4 linked regions of the Xenopus tropicalis genome follow. The protein of the gene in region 1 purifies or fractionates together with the protein of each later gene. This does not show direct contact. Links are inferred from orthologs where the notes say so. Each region holds a gene or a part of one and is shown in the gene's direction. Other genes may lie near its edges.

The links.
Region 2: the proteins of nup160 (region 1) and nup43 purify together in Homo sapiens (affinity purification with mass spectrometry; 5 studies listed by BioGRID and IntAct, counting the BioPlex papers as one, with this or other methods). This does not show direct contact. The link is inferred for Xenopus tropicalis from reciprocal best matches to the Homo sapiens genes NUP160 and NUP43.
Region 3: the proteins of nup160 (region 1) and seh1l fractionate together in Homo sapiens (co-fractionation; 3 studies listed by BioGRID and IntAct, with this or other methods). This does not show direct contact. The link is inferred for Xenopus tropicalis from reciprocal best matches to the Homo sapiens genes NUP160 and SEH1L.
Region 4: the proteins of nup160 (region 1) and nup133 purify together in Homo sapiens (co-immunoprecipitation; 4 studies listed by BioGRID and IntAct, with this or other methods). This does not show direct contact. The link is inferred for Xenopus tropicalis from reciprocal best matches to the Homo sapiens genes NUP160 and NUP133.

The regions. Positions count from the first base shown.
Region 1 is NC_030680.2:16,001,001-16,004,899, forward strand, and holds part of nup160 (nuclear pore complex protein Nup160), read left to right. Parts: intron 1-789; coding exon 790-950; intron 951-1,063; coding exon 1,064-1,124; intron 1,125-1,709; coding exon 1,710-1,820; intron 1,821-3,368; coding exon 3,369-3,492; intron 3,493-3,899. UniProt on the Homo sapiens protein: Functions as a component of the nuclear pore complex (NPC). Involved in poly(A)+ RNA transport.
Region 2 is NC_030681.2:58,289,335-58,294,631, reverse strand, and holds the start of nup43 (nucleoporin Nup43), read left to right. Parts: upstream 1-1,997; 5' UTR 1,998-2,290; coding exon 2,291-2,413; intron 2,414-3,235; coding exon 3,236-3,358; intron 3,359-5,297. UniProt on the Homo sapiens protein: Component of the Nup107-160 subcomplex of the nuclear pore complex (NPC). The Nup107-160 subcomplex is required for the assembly of a functional NPC.
Region 3 is NC_030682.2:103,472,178-103,476,777, reverse strand, and holds part of seh1l (nucleoporin SEH1), read left to right. Parts: intron 1-1,672; coding exon 1,673-1,819; intron 1,820-2,935; coding exon 2,936-3,147; intron 3,148-3,859; coding exon 3,860-3,958; intron 3,959-4,600. UniProt on the Homo sapiens protein: Component of the Nup107-160 subcomplex of the nuclear pore complex (NPC). The Nup107-160 subcomplex is required for the assembly of a functional NPC.
Region 4 is NC_030679.2:125,105,843-125,110,010, forward strand, and holds the start of nup133 (nuclear pore complex protein Nup133), read left to right. Parts: upstream 1-1,368; 5' UTR 1,369-1,506; coding exon 1,507-4,168. UniProt on the Homo sapiens protein: Involved in poly(A)+ RNA transport. Involved in nephrogenesis.

The DNA.
Region 1 (3,899 bases):
AAAGAGGCTACAATTTGCACGAGCTCACCAAAATTGGACAGTTGAAGACTGGAAAAATGTTGCCTGGTCTGATGAGTCTCGATTTCTGTTGAGACATTCAAATGGTAGAGTCAGAATTTGGCGTAAACAGAATGAGAACATGGATCCATCATGCCTTGTTACCACTGTGCAGGCTGGTGGTGGTGGTGTAATGGTGTGGGGGATGTTTTCTTGGCACACTTTAGGCCCCTTAGTGCCAATTGGGCATCATTTAAATGCCACGGCCTACCTGAGCATTGTTTCTGACCATGTCCATCCCTTTATGACCACCATGTACCCATCCTCTGGCTACTTCCAGCAGGATAATGCACCATGGCACAAAGCTGGAATCATTTCAAATTGGTTTCTTGAACATGACAATGTTTGGGATGTGGTGGAATGGGAGCTTCGTGCCCTGGATGTGCATCCCACAAATCTCCATCAACTGCAAGATGCTATCCTTTCAATATGGGTCAACATTTATAAAGAATGCTTTCTGCACCTTGTTGAATCAATGCCACGTAGAATTAAGGCAGTTCTGAAGGCGAAAGGGGGTCAAACACCGTATTAGTATGGTGTTCCTAATAATCCTTTTGATGTGTGTGTGTGTATATATATATATATATATATATATATATATTATTTATTTTATTTTTTTTAGATACACACATGTATCTATATTGTGTGTGTTTATTATACCTGCACCACCCTGCCACTAGTTATAGCGCTTAGTTTCCCTATCTATAACTGAAACCCCGTTTTTCCCCTCAGCTGGCACGGTGATGTTTGAATATGGGATGCGACTTGGCAGGGAAGTCCGTACCTTACGGGGTCTCCAAAAACAAGTGAACTCTTATCTGGCATGCCTGAACTGCTTGCGCCTTATCCGTCCAGAATACGCTTGGATAGTGCAGCCGGTATCGGGAGCTGTGGTATGAAACCTCTTGTCTAAATACATTCTAAATACAACAGAAAGGTCCTTCCTTCCATCCACTTTTCCCTATATATATCATTATTTGCCTGTTTTTCTTTTTTAAATGTCTAGTATGAACGCCCAGGAGCATCCCCCAAGAGGAACTATGATGGAGAATCATCTGCTGTTCCAAGTAAGCCTTTGCCCTAACGACTTGCTATCATTTTACCTTTTCCTTGCACAAATCTTTCTCTCTGGTATCCCGGGATATTATTGAGTGCTTCCTGCTGTGTCCCTGTTACACATTGTTACTCTTCCACTATGTTGGCTGAGCAGGATGATTACAGCTAAAAGTGTAATGGGGTATTGATTTGGCCTAGTCACAGAGGTGTGTGTATTGTGCTGCCACCTTGTGGTCTATAAGTAGTGGTGCTCTGGCTTAAAGTGAACATTTAAATACCCAGTGCAAGTAAAGGGTGTGATCCTGTGGCTGAGCTTGAAGCATGTAGTTAGAATCTATAACATAAGCAACATATAATCTCTTGCAAAACTACTAACTCTCTGCCAGCAGCCTCAATGCAGTTGGTTGATCTATATCTTCACCTGTCTGTGAAAGCTTTGGCAGATGCTGATAGTTGTAGTAAAGAAATTTTAGTAATATAGAACATTTTGCTACAAAAAAGTGAGCTTTCTTTTGAAACAGTTCTTCCTGTAATTAACTTATTTCAGTTTAATTTGCTTTATATTAACTGTTATTCTTGTGTTCTTTCTGGACTAGGCAGTAGTCAGATTGAAATCTTGGAGCTGCGAGATTTAGAAAAGGAATACGTTCTTGCGCAGACGCGGCTGACTCTGGCAAAGCATAATCCCAGTACAGCAGCGATCGCAGGTAACGGAGAACTTTGATTGGATTACATTTCTCATGCAAGGAGTTTCTCTTCTCCCAGATAAATAGCAGGCTCTGTTCAGCATTTACCCAGATGCCTACATAGTAAGAGCAGTCGAGAGGGATTTTGGGGATATTTGCAAAGTTAATTGTGGGCTTACAGCCATGTTCTGATGAAATTGAAATTGAATCACTAAGCACCGATTATAAGAATATAATTTCCAGAATATACCACTTTTCTGTTTTATATATTTGTATTGTTGTTTGTTGGATCCACAATTGAGGTAAGCGTTACATGCCTGACATCAGACATGATGTTTTGTGTACCGTATATACTCGAGTATAAGCCGAGTTTTTCAGCACTAAAAATGTGCTCAAAAAGTAACCCTTCGGCTTATACTCGAGCATTCCTCTCCCCTACCTACCTCCACTTGTGTCCGTCCTGCACATAATGCGCTCGAACGAGGCGATGGAGGCGAGTCCGTGCGCGCAAGGTTAAGGAACGCTTCTGTATCATGTATCTGGCACAGATGCTTGGCCGCCGTGTATAGTGACGAGTCGCTGTGCTGATCTGCCAGCCATATAATCTGCAGCAAGTTGTTTACCTGTGGGAGCGGGAGCATTCTTCAAACAGAGCCGTAAGCCGGTACATATCTGCCACCTCGTACGCCGCGCAGCGTGTCACACACGGACACCGTGCACTCCGTTCACTCTCCTGCCGACTCTTGATCTGACGATGTAATGCATACGCACTCACCTCCGTGCGAGCGCGTTCATCGTCAGATCAAGAAGAATGCTCCCGCTTCCTGGTCCGGACAGTGCAGGTAAAGAACTGCCTGCAGATTATGTGGCTGGCAGATCAGCACAGCGACTCGTCACTATACACGGCGGACAAGCACCTGTGCCAGATACTGTACATGCTTCAGAAGAGTTCCTTAACCTGCGTGCACAGACTCGCCTCCATCCACGGGGGCCACATTGTGGGATATGTAGTTCTATGGAGGCGATTGGTGCACAGGTGGGCTTGTCATGAGTGGCAGTCTCTGGCCACTAACAAGGAGGGGAGTTCTTAAGGCAGTGGGGGGCAAGGGGAAGCAGGATGGGACCAGCAAGGGGCAAGACATTGGTGAGTAGGAGTGGAAGCGTGCTTAGCCATAAAGCAGGGCTGTTGTACTGCAATCACAAGACTGATTTTCAAAATGTAAGAAAATTATTTTTGTAGTATTGTGGTGGGACTTCTACACTGGGGTCCAAGTACTTGATAATTAGTATGGCAGCTTCCTTAGCGTTCCCAAACTTGCTTTTGTCTGCTGCTGTAGCATTTTTCTTTCCCTAAAGTTATCTATGTATTTATCTGTTATTTATTTGATTATTAAAACTTAGCAGTAGCGGTTGCATTTCCCACCCTAGGCTTATACTCGAGTCAATAAGTTTTTCCAGTTTTCTTAGGTAAAATTGGGTACCTCGGCTTATATTCGGATCGGCTTATACTCGAGTATATACGGTATATCAAGCTCTGCTAATCTGAACGATGTGCACTCTCTTTCGCAGGGAGTTCCGCTGCTGAAGAAATGGTGGCTCTTCTTGTACAGGCCGGCCTGTTTGACACAGCAATATCCCTGTGCCAGACGTTCAAACTTGGCCTGACATCAATCTTCGAGGGTCTTGCTTGCAAGTAAGTGTGCATCATTGAAAAACTTTAAAGGATAAGTTAAAATTACTTGATATAAAATTGATGAGTGCTATTTTAAGGACTTTTGCAATATATATTCATTCATTTTTTTTTTTTTTTTTTAATCCCAAGATATTAAGGGTTTAAAAGTCCTGTTAATATTGAATCCATTTTGTTACATTAGGGCCACCTGCTGGTTACTTTTCGAACATGAAGTAGCCAAGGACATTGTCAAGCGAAAGAAAGGGCTGATCTGATGTTCTTCTGGCTAGCAAAAATGTGAGAACCTCAAATAAGATTTCTTACATCTTTCCTAACCAACTAACTTCCTTGACTACGTCATGTTCGGAAAGTGACCAGCAGATGAAGCTGTAACTTAATGTATATTTATAATAATGTGTTCTTGCAGC
Region 2 (5,297 bases), on another chromosome or scaffold:
AGCAAATTCCTGAGGGGGGGGGCGAGTGGGTTACAGGAGGAGAAGGAAATCTAAGTGATTAAGGAGATGCTGCAGCCTTACTATTAACCTCTGGACAACCAGTGTGGCAGGTATTGAAAGATTTCAAAGAGGCTGTTTACTGATTCAATTTTTGTGTGTGGGGTTTACATGTCCTTTAAGACTTTTTTAATCAAAGGGAGACTGTAAAAAGTTCATTATAAGATTTGGCTAGCTGGAACCAGGCTTTGACATTGCATGAGTTCTCGCAGGGATATAAAAGGTTGAATCAATTTCATTGTCTGATATGGATCACCTATTTCCTTTATCTCCAATTTTTGCAGGTTACCATGAGACCAGAGAACTGACTACATTTTTGGAAGCAGTTAATCAAATTCACTAATTAATCAGGCTAATAAGGGGACTCTGCAGTGTCAGCTGTGGATTGTCTACATACAGGTTTATTTTATATTCCTTGTCTGCTTTTTGGTAACCCATTACTATCTCCTTATGGTGATAGGTTCAGTTGCCAAGGAAAGTAAAAGCTGTGTTCGGGCCCCAAGTGCCACCCTGAGGCTAATGCAAAGAGCGCAATAGCATAAAAAGTAAATATTGCTTACATAAACAAACTGGACCAGCTAAATTTTTTAGAACCAAATGTAAATATGCTCACTTAAGGGATTCAAACAGCACATTTTTTTTACTATATGTAGAAAGTTTATTTCTGTCAGGTGAAGTTTGTATTATTTTTTATTTTTGTGGGGAGGGCCAGACCATTTGGCAGTGTATACAAGAATTTTAGGAAAGTATATACTGTACATGGCAGTTTAGGGAGAGCCCATTACATAGCTAAAGCATTGGAAAAATGCTACCTTTTCATCTCTGCTAGCTACAGTGCTGTATTTAGGTTTGGTGCCTGTTGGGTTCACAGTGGAGTTGTGCAGGATAAGTAGAAAGTCAAGCTGGATAACACATGTAGCTGAGCTAACATTTAGGCATGCAGCTCCCTCTAGTGGTACACAACAATGCCACTCTAGACACCAGACCTAACTATACCCCCTACTTTGCAGATGTGACATCATTGTGCCCGTGATGTCACATACCCCTACGTTGTGAAAGTGACTTCACATGCTGCATGTGCGTGGTGACAATTCTGCAGTGCAACCCAACCCCCTACCATGCACCCCCAGCTCCATTACCAGATTTACTAAGGACTCTGGCACACGGGGAGATTAGTCGCCTGCGACAAAACTCCCTGTTCGCGGGAGTGCCATCCCGCCGGCGACTTACAAGTTCGCCGGTGGGATGGCGGGTCATGGCAACTCGGGGAGATTAGTCCCCCGCGAACAGGGAGTTTTTGTTGCGGGCGACTAATCTCCCTGTGTGCCAGAGCCCTAAGGCTGGGGGCATATATATATTTTTAAATTGTAAATGTAATATATAGGTGCATATTTGTAAAAACTGTATAACTTTGCCCTTCTCACCACATCCCTGCCCAATTTGCCTATTTATGTTATGATCACGTCTCCTTGTCCCACCTGCCCCTTATGTCACCGGCTCGCCTCTTCACTATGTGGCCAATATGTTTCTGTACAAAATGTGGCAACTTTAGGTACAGCCCAATGTGCTTTCCTCCTATAATTTATAAGGTGCATGATATACAGTAAAACCCCCATTTTACATTTCTCAGGAGACCAGAAAGAAATGATGTAAAATTCCAGGAAAATGTAAAAGCAAAGAAATGTATTATGCATTAAAAGTCGGTGGGTCCACCTAAACAGTGTAAAATGTGGGAAAACCCAAAATAAGGTTATTTAAAATTAAGGTTTCACTGTAACACAAACATAAGTCCCTCTTAATTAAATTATTAGGCCACAAGCAGGACTTCTATATGTTAACCGTTTGGTCTTGTATTCCTTTACGCTGTAAAACCCAGTATGAAAGGATAACGCTATATAATTAATAACAAAGTATGTTTAGCGCAAGCCATAGTCACTGAACTGTACTGTGGCAACGAATGCGTTAATAAACGCATTTCATTTTATTTCCTTACTCCGATCACTGGTCACCTCAGCGATTACTCTGTAGAAAGTATGGCGGGGAAATTATAGCCAATGAAAGTACAGTTTGGGTTGTTGAGAATTGCCAATCAGAACGCTTGTGGCAGACAAGGCGCCGTCTGGCGGCTTTTTTTCAGGCTCTGCCTCTTTTTTTCAACATAGCCCTGTAATCTGGACGTGTTCGTCATTAAGGGGGTAGTGGTGGCATAGCCAACCTCAAAATTAAGGGTGTCATGGACGATAAATTCGCTGCAAAATTTGTCTCTCACAAAATTAGCAGAACTCGCTGGCGCCCAGTGTCGGCCTCGTCGCTGCAGCAACCGGATGTGTTTGCTACGGGTTCCTGGGATAATGAGGTATGGTTGTGGCACGGGGAAATGTGTTTAACCAACATTCGGAGTAAACTAAAAATCACAATGATACGGCTGTAGGTGATCTATAATACCCTGAATCCCCTGCTGTCAAACTCTTACAGTTATTTAAACTACGGAAGAGCAGCATTTCCCAAGTATTACATGGTTAATTTAGATCATTGTAATAATTGTGCAGCCATGTGTTTGTACTCATTGACGTATTACCCTCTACAAGAAGCTTACAGTTTCCTGTAACACAAGAGCCCTGGGTACACTTAATGGGGGTTGGTAAATCTAGTCATTTTCCTAGCACAATTTTAATTATTATTGACACAGCACACCACAAAGTGCCAGAGTGTGATGTAGTTCCACTGATGGCTACAAATGTCAAATAGCACTGCCTTAGAATCCGAATCACGAATGGGAAAAAATCGTATTGGAAACGAAAATTTCGTAAGATCGCAAATATCACGTAAATGCTTATGACAAAATCGTATTAGTCACGATAATATCGGATTGGCGACCCGAAAGTCATGAAATTTTCATACCGAACAATTGTAAACAGCGGTAAAACCTTTCCGATTTTTTCGTGCAAACGTCTGAAAAAGTTGAGCGTCGTATGAAAAAGTCGTGCGGACGCCCGAAAAAATCTGCGAAAATACGCTCGGAGCGTTCACATGAACGCTCGTGCATTCGTGCTTTTGTAAATGTGCCCCTTAGTGTTAAGGCATATCAAAGTTTGATATATTTAGTGAAAGTTTTGCATACAGTTTTATGACATGTCAATACACTACATATACTGATTTTTTTTTTTTAATGCTCAAGGAAAACAAGGTATGTGTGTGGGCCACTTCAGACTTTGGGGCCATAAGTCTAGAAGAAGAATACCAAGGAGATCCTAAACAACTGTGTGACATCAGACACATTGGCGATGTTATGGACATGCAGGTACCTTAACAAAGGAACTTTTTATTTACACTACATAATTACATTCTGTTGTTTCCTCTACATAAGGATATTCTTATCTCACTAGCCAAGGGACCAATTGCCCCCATACTATATAAAAAATAGCCATAAAAGAAATGAAACTGTATGAAATCCCGGCCCTTGAAGAAATAGGCTATTCAACTACAATTTATTCAAATTCACTTTTCCTTAATAAGTTCACATAATAATTTTATTTATTGTATTGTCATAGTTGGTGCCTATTAATAAGTGGTGGAAAATGAGAGGGCCCTTTTGTGTTTGAACTTTTCACAAATCTTAAGACATCAGGCAAACTAATTATAATGGTATGCTAGTTTGGGTCAAGTCATAATAGTGAATTATTTGACTTCATTAGATATTGATTGGAGTAAAGGTCCCCATACACCTTCAGATTCCCTCGCTTGGCGATGTCGCCAAGCGAGCTGATCTTCTCCCGATATCCCCCACCTATTGATGGGCGATATCTGGAGAATCCAGGCTGATTTGATCTAATTATAACGACGGTATAGGCAAAGTTGGTTCAGGGTCCGCATCAACAAGCCGATGGGGTCCCCGATCCGACTAGGTTTTTTTAACCTGCCCGATCGAGATATTGGTTGGGCAGGCCCATCAGTAGTGCCCATACACTGGCGATTAGCTGCTGAATCGGTCTAACGGACTGATATCGGCAGCTAGAATCGGCCTGTGTATGGAGACCTTAATATTAGTGTCAGAACAGTTAATTTAACAAGTTTACAAACTTACTAAATAACAATTTTATGTCACAGATTGTTCAGGGCCCCTAAAGGAATTATGCTATACTTGACCTAGTGATAAAACAAATGCACTAGAAGCCCAGGGTAATGGTGACCATAATGTTATCTAAATGAATATATGAGTGTTAAGCTGCATGATATGTGGGAGTAAGTAAGTTAATAGGAATGAAGAGGAAGGCTTTTAAAAACTACAAGTGAGGGGACAGATGATTCTTGTAAAGAATGTTAATACCACAAGTGTTGTAAAGCAGCAATAGGGAAGGCAAAGGTGAAATACTTTTGGAGATTAGTCTTTGCCTGTGCAGCAATAATCTCCTCATTTTCAAAGTATCTAAGTTATAAAAAGATGTAGGTGTGGACTGTGGAAATGGAGGTGATTTGGGTATAAAAGACCATAGAAAGCAAATGTGCTTAAGGATTTCTTTTCTACAGTGTATACAGTAGAGAAGTTGGGGTTGCAAGAACCACTAGGCAAGGACACAGATGACTCAGCTCTATCAAGTCAATTGATGACTCAGGACATGGTACTGAGTCACAGTATGTACTGCCTGCCCTATGTTGCCTTTGTGTATGGCACAGGCAGCATAGGGCAGGCAGAGTATGGCACCCACAGGCAGCATAGGGCAGGCAGAGTATGGCACCCACAGGCAGCATAGGGCAGGCAGAGTATGGCACCCACAGGCAGCATAGGGCAGGTAGAGTATGGCACCCACAGGCAGCATAGGGCAGGCAGAGTATGGCACCCACAGGCAGCATAGGGCTGGCAGGGTATGGCACCCACAGGCAGCATAGGGCTGGCAGGGTATGGCACCCACAGGCAGCATAGGGCTGGCAGAGTATGGCACCCACAGGCAGCATAGGGCTGGCAGAGTATGGCACCCACAGGCAGCATAGGGCTGGCAGAGTATGGCACCCACAGGCAGCATAGGGCTGGCAGAGTATGGCACCCACAGGCAGCATAGGGCTGGCAGAGTATGGCACCCACAGGCAATATTCTACCTGCCCTACCCTGCCTGTGTGTGCCATACTATGCCTGCCCTATGCTGCCTGGGTGTGCCATACTCTCCCTCCCCTATGCTGCCTGTGGGAGGTGAACCAGTATATAAATGCTGGGGGTTGCTGTGCTATCCACAAGGGAGGATGAG
Region 3 (4,600 bases), on another chromosome or scaffold:
TAGGGGTTGTTAGAGGTTGGATTTTAGTCCTATGACATGCAGAGGTGCTGTTGAGGAAATCAGTGTCAGTCAGAAATACCCATATTATCTGTAACAGCTTGGAATAGCAAGTCTAACAAATGTTATGTCTGTTGTAGACAGAAGCAGTGAGAGACAGAGACTGCTTAAAAAGACCAAAACAAGCATTTCTACAACAGCAACATTGTGACCAAAATTACAATTCTGAAGGTTTCTTCCACCTGCAGTAGACAGATCTAAGTTAATTTCTGCACTAAAAGACCAGTAAAACAATAAACAAATACTGTATATACTCGAGTATTAGCCGAGTTTTTCAGCACCAAAAATGTGCTGAAAAAGTCACCCTTGGCTTATACTCGAGTATATGGATTTGAAGATGTAAGTGTCCCCCCCCCCGTGAATGGTCGTACGTGCGTGCGCTTGCCTTTTTAAGTTGGGAGCGCACACGGCAGAAATCCAACAAGCTGTTTTGTTTGGATGAGCTGTTAAGTATTAGGGTGATATTCAGCCACGCTGGGTGACAAGTTGCACAGCTCTGAAGTCAATGGGAAGCAGACTGTGGTGGACATCAGGTATTTTTTTTACCGCGCTACAAATATAGACAATCAAAATGTTCCATGTGAAAATAGTCTAAGTCCCCATTATGGGCCACTTAGACAATAGAAAGCTCTCTGGAGGAGCAAACAGCTATTTAGTAGCTTGAAGGCAGCATTACGGGCTGTTCAACCAAGGTTTGGGCCTCACAGCAGGATGGGAACGCACACAGCAGGATGGGAGAGCACACAGGGGAGCGCACACAGCAGGTTGGCAAGTACTTAGTATGGCAGCTTTCTTAGCCTTCCCAAACTTGCCTGACAGTTAAAAAAAAAAAAAAAAAAAAACAACAAAGCAGTAGGAGCTGCATTTCCCACCCTAGGCTTATACTTGAGTCAATAAATTTTTCCAGTTTTCTTAGGTAAAATTAGGTACCTCGGCGATCGGCTTATACTAGAGTATATACGGTAAATAAACTGTTTCGTATGTGTTTAATTTTAATATACTGCTGCCTTGCACTTACTGGTGTATTAAACAGGACATTTCTTGTCTGGAAATAGTTTTTCTAGATGTTCAATCAACAGATACTAACTAGGGCCTAATTTGCTAGTCCTTTTTTAAAGGGACAGTATAATGAAAGGAAATGTCTCCATTGCCATTAAACAGAGCAAAAGGTTTAGTGATTGGGTACTACTGGGAAAAGCTGCCATGCTTCAATAATGAAAAAAAGTTTATTAGTTATTACAGTATTATGAGTGGCGGATTAATAGCTGTTGCTACCCTATGCAATTGTTGCATGCTTAATACTGTAAATGTGCATGTGCCAGTTGGTGGAAATTGGGTACTCAGCCCCTCATCTTGTTTGTTAATTTAGCCACTAGAATCTAGTGGTGGTCTGGAGCTTTAAAAAGAAAATGCTATATACACCTCTGCTACTGCTCTAGGCACAAACCTTGTGTGCTTGCATAGAAAACACAGCCCTCAATATTAGCATGCTATTCCTAAACGCACACATATTTAAATACACTGTATTTAATGCACAGAGCAGTCGGAGCAGCTTGTAATTTACTTTAACCTTTGTATTCTGGAAGGAAAATGTTATTTTTGTCTTGTTCTTAAGACCCACAGTGGTTCAGTATGGCGGGTAACATGGGCTCACCCAGAATTCGGCCAGGTATTAGCCTCATGTTCGTTTGACAGAACTGCTGCAGTGTGGGAAGAAATAGTTGGTGAATCAAATGATAAACTGCGCGGACAGAGTCATTGGGTAAGACCTATTGTCAGATATATGAGCACATTTTTCCCAGTATTGAGCTTGTTTGAAAACTGTATATATGATTATATGATAATTATATTTTGATTGCACCTTTTCAATATACACCTGGATGTGCATCATTTTTGTCTATATATAACATCATGAGTGTTCAACTGGAAGATTTGTAATTTACCCCAGTATGTACAGTCTGAAAAATGTGGGCAGTCCTTTCCAAATTAAATATTTAGTAAATTTATAGTAAACAAATACAGTTGAATCAGAAACCGCATATTTGCAAACATTAATTCACAGATCCATTTTATTTTGCAAACTTTAAAGCATAGAGAAGTATAAACAAATGCAAGAAATTATGGCATGTGCAAAGGTTTGGACACCCTTTCACCTGACCCTAATTACCCCATTAGGCCTTAATATCTATTAGGAGTTGTCAACTGTTAACATTTGAATAGCATAATGAAATCTCTGTTAGTCAACAATCATGGACTCCATAATGCAACTGTGCGAACATCTGACAAAGTTAATTGTCGCCATGTCATCAAGAAATGGCAGGGGAAGGGGAACTGTGGAAGTCTAGAGACAATCTGACAGAGCAAGATTAAGAGCAAGACTGGTGTTGCATAGTTTCATGGCACAGCACTGCTTACACAAACATGATCTGCATGGAAGAGTCATCAAAGGAAAGCTTAACCTTCAACTTCATCACAAACATCAACATCTAAGCTAAGGAATACAAAACAGTGATCTTTTAAAGTGCTGTGAACTAAAGTAAAAATTAACTCTTTGGCCACTCTCAAAGGTTTGTTTGGAATAAAAAGAAGCAGAATTTGATGACTAAGAAACACATTGGCAACTTTTAAAGGGATAGTGATGTTCAATATTTCAGCAGAAATGTGTCACTATGCCTAAATAAACCCTAATGTCAATCATTTTTTTAATGGAGGTCTCCAACACCAACAGAAAACAAAAGTTGTTTGGTGACTCTATACACTGCTTTATCAATAGGTTAAAAGCTAGAGGTGGCATAGCGCTGACTTTTTGAGCAGCATCCAAATTAAGGGGAAATGTATGTTTGGTCACCATTATTTATTTATTCTGATTCTGCTTTAGGTTAAAAGAACAACACTAGTGGACAGCAGGACATCTGTAACCGATGTAAAGTTTGCTCCAAAACACATGGGTCTGATGCTGGCAACCTGCTCTGCAGATGGAGTGGTGAGAATATATGAGGCCCCTGATGTTATGAACCTCAGTCAGTGGTCCCTGCAGCATGAAATCTCATGCAAACTGAGCTGCAGTTGTATCTCTTGGAATCCCTCTAGGTTAGTTATAAACAATTTACTTTGTTACATCTCTGAATGTGTATATGAAAATAGGAAAGCAAATGAGACTTTGCAGACTATTTACATCAGTGGTTACATAAGTGCTACTTATGCTAGATCTACTCATGTCAAGGAGCATTACATATATGACAAACTAAAGCTTTGCTGAAATGTTAAAGGGAACTATTGTTAAAATTGAAATTTCATATGAGCTTTCTAAATATAATCAGCTAAACATTGGGTATAGTTGCAAAATAAACTTTGTAAATGTTACAAATTTAGTATTAAGTTTTACTAGACATGTAAAGAGGCAGTATTCTTCCGTATTCAACACGCATTTAGTGAATAGATAAACATAATATTTAACAAAGGTTTTCTTCATACAAATACATTTTTTAACTCTCTGGTTCATGCAGGAAGTTTTGCGAGGGAAAGAAGGTAGTTAGTCGGATTAGCAGTTTACAGATAAAACGGCTGATTAGAGCTTTGTTACATTAGGAATTTTCTCCACCAGTGCATCTATGCATCCTATACACTGTGCTATAATTTGCTGAAATGGCAGCTTTAAAGCAAAATACCTATTGGTACCTTTTAATGAAAAATAAAATATGAATGTTCACTTATTAAATTATTAGCATTTCATATTTAAATTAAGGTTTGTTTCATATTATGAATCAAACATTTTATTTATTCTTTTATTTGGTTGTTTTAGCTCCCGAGCCCATTCTCCTATGATTGCTGTAGGCAGTGACGACAGCAGCCCAAATATCATGGGAAAAGTACAGATCTATGAATATAATGAGAACACAAGGTATCGAATACAAAAAAGTTTTCGTACTGTGCGTATTTTTTGCGACTTTTTCGTACTTTGCGACAAGCGTGACTTTCCTTGGGCCATGTTGGAGTTGCAGAGCGCCATTGAGTCCTATGGGAGGCTTCCAAAAACATGCGGTTACGATCGTTCAGATACGAAAATTTCACCACTTTCGGAACGCCATTCCGATATTATCGTGACTATTGCGATTTTTTTTCGGAAGCATTTTCGTGACAATTCCGATCATCAGAAATTATCGTATTTAATCCGAATTTTTTCCATTTCGGGATTCAAACTCGTACTTTGATAAATCTGCCCCATAATCTGGTTCCTCAAGGCAAGCAAGTTCATTTGCCTTTTTCCTTTTTTTTATTCTTTTCATATTGTCCATTTTGACTTTTTTCTTATCTTTCTTTCAGTTTGTATTTTTTGGTATGTAGGCGATAGAAATAGTATGGCAAGTTAAATTAATAATATCACATTTTTTATGCTAATGGTATTTTAATTGTTGCTAAGATGCATCTCCTATTATACCTAAAGGGAGGTTAGAGCTGGCAACTCTTGTTAAGCAACAGATGGTGAACAGCTGGTTGAGAATCTCAGGTCTAATGCACCTGTTCTCTATAATAAATGTTTGTC
Region 4 (4,168 bases), on another chromosome or scaffold:
GAAAGTAAAAATTGCGGCCCTGCCTACGGCACACCAGGCAACATCTCGCGGCACACTAGTGTGCCACGGAACAGTGGTTGAAAAACGCTGATCTAGGGTGTGTTACTATATATTTTAATCTTTTCATTCTTCCTTTTCGCTTTACCAATTTTAAAAAATTATTTTAGCTGTGAACATAAATTAAAAGTTATATTTTAAGATTCTACAGGTGTGCCAAAAAAATTGTGTTCTTTTCATCTTTTGCTTTATATGTGACACACAATGGCCTTCCAGAGATTGTCTGTGTGGGCATGGAATTAAATATCGCACTATTATCAGCAGAGCTCGTGGTTTTCACTTACAGGTATCGGACCCCTTATCCGGAAACCCATTATCCAGAAAGTTCCGAATTACGGAAAGGCCATCTCCCATAGACTCCATTATAATCAAATAATTACCATTCTTAAAAATTATTCCCTTTTTCTCTGTAATAATAAAACAGTACCTTGTACTTGTTCCCAACTAATATATGATTAATCCTTATTGGAAGCAAAACAATCCTATTGGGTTTAATTACTGTTTAAATAATATTTTAGTAGACTTAAGGTAGGAAATCTGAATTACGGAAAACCCCAGGTCCCTACCATTCTGGATAATGGGCCCCATACCTGTAATAACAACTGCAACTCTGCACCTGGGCTACCAGGAATTAAGGATGCAAAATACACTATTTAATTTACATTTTCAGCCACTTACAGGAAAAAAATATCACACAAACTGCTCACTGCACAAAGTAATTGGATAACACTGAGACAGCAAGTACAATTTTTATTGTTACTGTAGGACGACCAAGCCAAAAGTAAATGTGCCAGTCAATGGTTATTACTGGTTGCTGCACTAAGAAACAATGGCAGACACTAATTCTTAGACTGAGGGGAAAAAACGACTTCCTTTTATCATTTTATAGATTGTAAGCTCTACGGGGCAGGGACCTCCTTCATCTTGTGTTTCTGACTCTTATTGCAACTGTACCTTGTATTTATTGTTATACTTTGTATTTATCCATTATCTTTAACCCCGTCTGTATTAATGAATTCTACTGCACAGCGCTGCGTACATAAGTAGCGCTTTATAAATAAAGATATACATACATACATACATACATGGGAAAGTTATAGGATCACCCCGTCTATTATCATCCACTGTACAATTTTTAGGGCTTTTGTTTCCTGTATTATTTGGTTCGGTTATTATTCTTCCATTGCTTAGCAAACTATTTGCATGAATCCCATTTTCTTCCTTGTAGGTCAAGAAAAATATAACTTGTTTAAAGAGCAAGTGGATTTGACGCAACCTGACTGACTGAACGATAACCCCTGGTTCCAACCAGTTGGCCAGTTGCAGCCTAACAGGCCGGGCCGTTGCTTATGACGTCACTAGCAGCGCGCCATTTCCTGCACTTCCTGAGACAACGCGGGTAGCGAGCGCTTTTCAAACTATCCCGACACAGCGGCTACCGGATCCAGCATGTTTCCGTCACCCCGTGCTCAGGGTGTGGGCTCAGCGCGGCGGCCGTTTAATGCCCGACTGACTGGCGGCAGGAAAGGCTTGGGTCCGGGAGTGAGCGCCAGTTCTTCCCCGTCGGCGCTGTACTCGCCTGTGGGTCGTAGAGTTTCCAGCAGTGGCGCCAGATCCACCCCGTCCCGCGTTTATCTCCACCCGGCCGCCTCTGAGACGGTGAATTACAATGTACAGCTGTTTGGTTCCTCCTTGCCAGTTAAAGTAATGGAGGCCCTGTCTAACTCCGGTGTAGACGAGCCCTTGGCTGCTCGCATCCATGAAGGCGGATGGGCATGGCTGGCGTGCAAGGATCGCCTGATCATTTGGAAGATAAGTCACTCCACCTCTGCTAAGTTAATGGTGTGCAAAGAACTGCCTCTTCCACTGAGTGACAGCGAATGGTCTGCTGATTTAGCGGATATTTGTGCCCACACGGGTGACTCTGCTGCTGGACAGGCAGTGGCATTAATGGCGGCCACTCCTGAAGGGTCAGCCCGCTACTGGCCTAACATTCTCCATGAGAGCAACTATATAGAGTCTTACGCTGACTTTGGCTCCTCTCTTTGTGCATTTGTTACAGCTGTAAAAGGCAACAGTTTCATCCTGTCTTCAGAAAAAAATCACCTTGTACGACTGACACCCGACGCGTCCGGAAAGATTAATCAACGTATTCTGCCGCAAGGTCAGGGCATGCTGTCCGGTATTGGCCGCAGGGTGTCCACGCTCTTTGGCATCTTGTCTCCTGCTGTTGAATCCACGCTCTGCAGTGTTCTCTGGGATAAGGGAGATTGCTTCTATACTCTCACAGACTCAAGTATAAACAAATGGGACTTGGATGATGCTTCGGAAAGTCACGTGCTTACCTGGGACATGACCAGAGTCCTAAGAGAAAACATATCTGATGCCATTTGGGGGTCTGAGAGCAACTATGATGATATAAAAAATGGAATTAACATTGATTATTTAAGTCTTAACCAGAACTGTGATGGTTTAGTCATCCTGGCTGCTGCCTGGCATCCTGGTGATAACCCCTGCCAGATATATTACACACTTGTAACCGTGAAAGACGAAGGTTATAATATTTCTGATGAAATTACAGTGGAAGTCACTCAGTTCAACCCTGTGTTTCAGTCTAGAGATATGCAGCTGTGCCAGCTTGTGATACCAAATTTTAGCAGCCAGGCCTGTTACTTGTATACCCAAGATATGGTCTTTGCATGTTCAACAGGAACTGGAAGGAGCACTTTGCCTCAAGAAAAGATTCCATTTGAAGCACAAGGAGATAATATTATAGGAGCTGGATCCTGTGAAGGTTGGCCAGTTTTTTTCATTAGAAAGAGTGGTATGCTGACCGTTGTTGCTAGAGAGACTGCTTCTGTGCTCCCAGAGCACATGGAAGAGTCACTGTTGTCCGTGTCTAAATCCAGCTCTCAGGCTGCAGTAAAGGACTCAACTTCAAGACCTGACCAGATTGCTCATGATGATAAGACCAAACTTCTGAAGGCCGCTTTTTTGAGATGTTGCAGGAAAGACATACTGGGGGCACAGAGCATGGTGGATAGCCTGTTCTCAGATTCAGACATGGGACCAGATGATGAACTGGATCAAGCAGTAAACCAAATAAGCGTCGATTTGATTGATGATTATCCTGCCTCTGATCCTCGTTGGGCTGAATCTGTCCCTGAAGAGGCAGCTGGATTTAGCAACACTTCTCTAATTCTCTTGCATCAGCTGGAAGATAAGATGAAAGCTCACTCCTTTTTTGTGGATTTCCTTCATCAAGTTGGACTTTTCAGTCGTTTGAGCACTTGTCAAGCAAAAGGAATGTTCGTAGCAACTCGACTGTTGCTGTGTGAGCATGCAGAGAAACTGTCTGCTGCAATTGTTTTAAAGAACCACCATGCTAAGCTCCCTGCCTTGGTTAACTCTGCCATACAACTTGCACTTGATAAAAGGATGTGCTCCATACCCCAGAATCTCACTGCCGCCGATGTCTACTTTAGAGAGGTATCCCAAATGGATATTATCTTTGAATGCCTGGTAGACAAAGAGGAAGCTGACTTGGAAAGTACTTCCATGGACTCAGTTGAATGGGCAAATATAGTTGTCAATATCAATACTATTCTGAAAGACATGCTACATGCTGCCTGTCAGTACAGACAAAGTAAAAATTCTCTCTATAAAAATGAAAGTGGAATGCAAGAGCCCGAGTATGTTCCCTGGACTGCTTCTAGTGGAATTGCAGGTATTAGGTCTGTTGTTACACGTCAGCATGGTGTAATATTGAAGATCTACCCACAAGCGGATAGCAGCCTTCGTACTATACTAATTGAGCAGCTTGCAGCCTTGCTAAACTACTTGCTTGATGATTATGTCATCCAACTAAAATCAGTTGATAAACGGACTAATCAAGAAAGATACAGTGTCCTGGAAATGGAGTATGCTCAGAAGCGGTCAGAACTTTTAGCTCCTTTGTTAAGCCTAGGACAGTATGCCTGGGCTTCAAATCTTGCTGAGAAGTACTGTGACTTTGATATCTTGGTGCAGATATGTGAAATGACTGATAATCAGAGCAGGCTGCAAAGGTACATGACTCTATTTTCAGATCAGAATTTTTCAGATTTTCTGT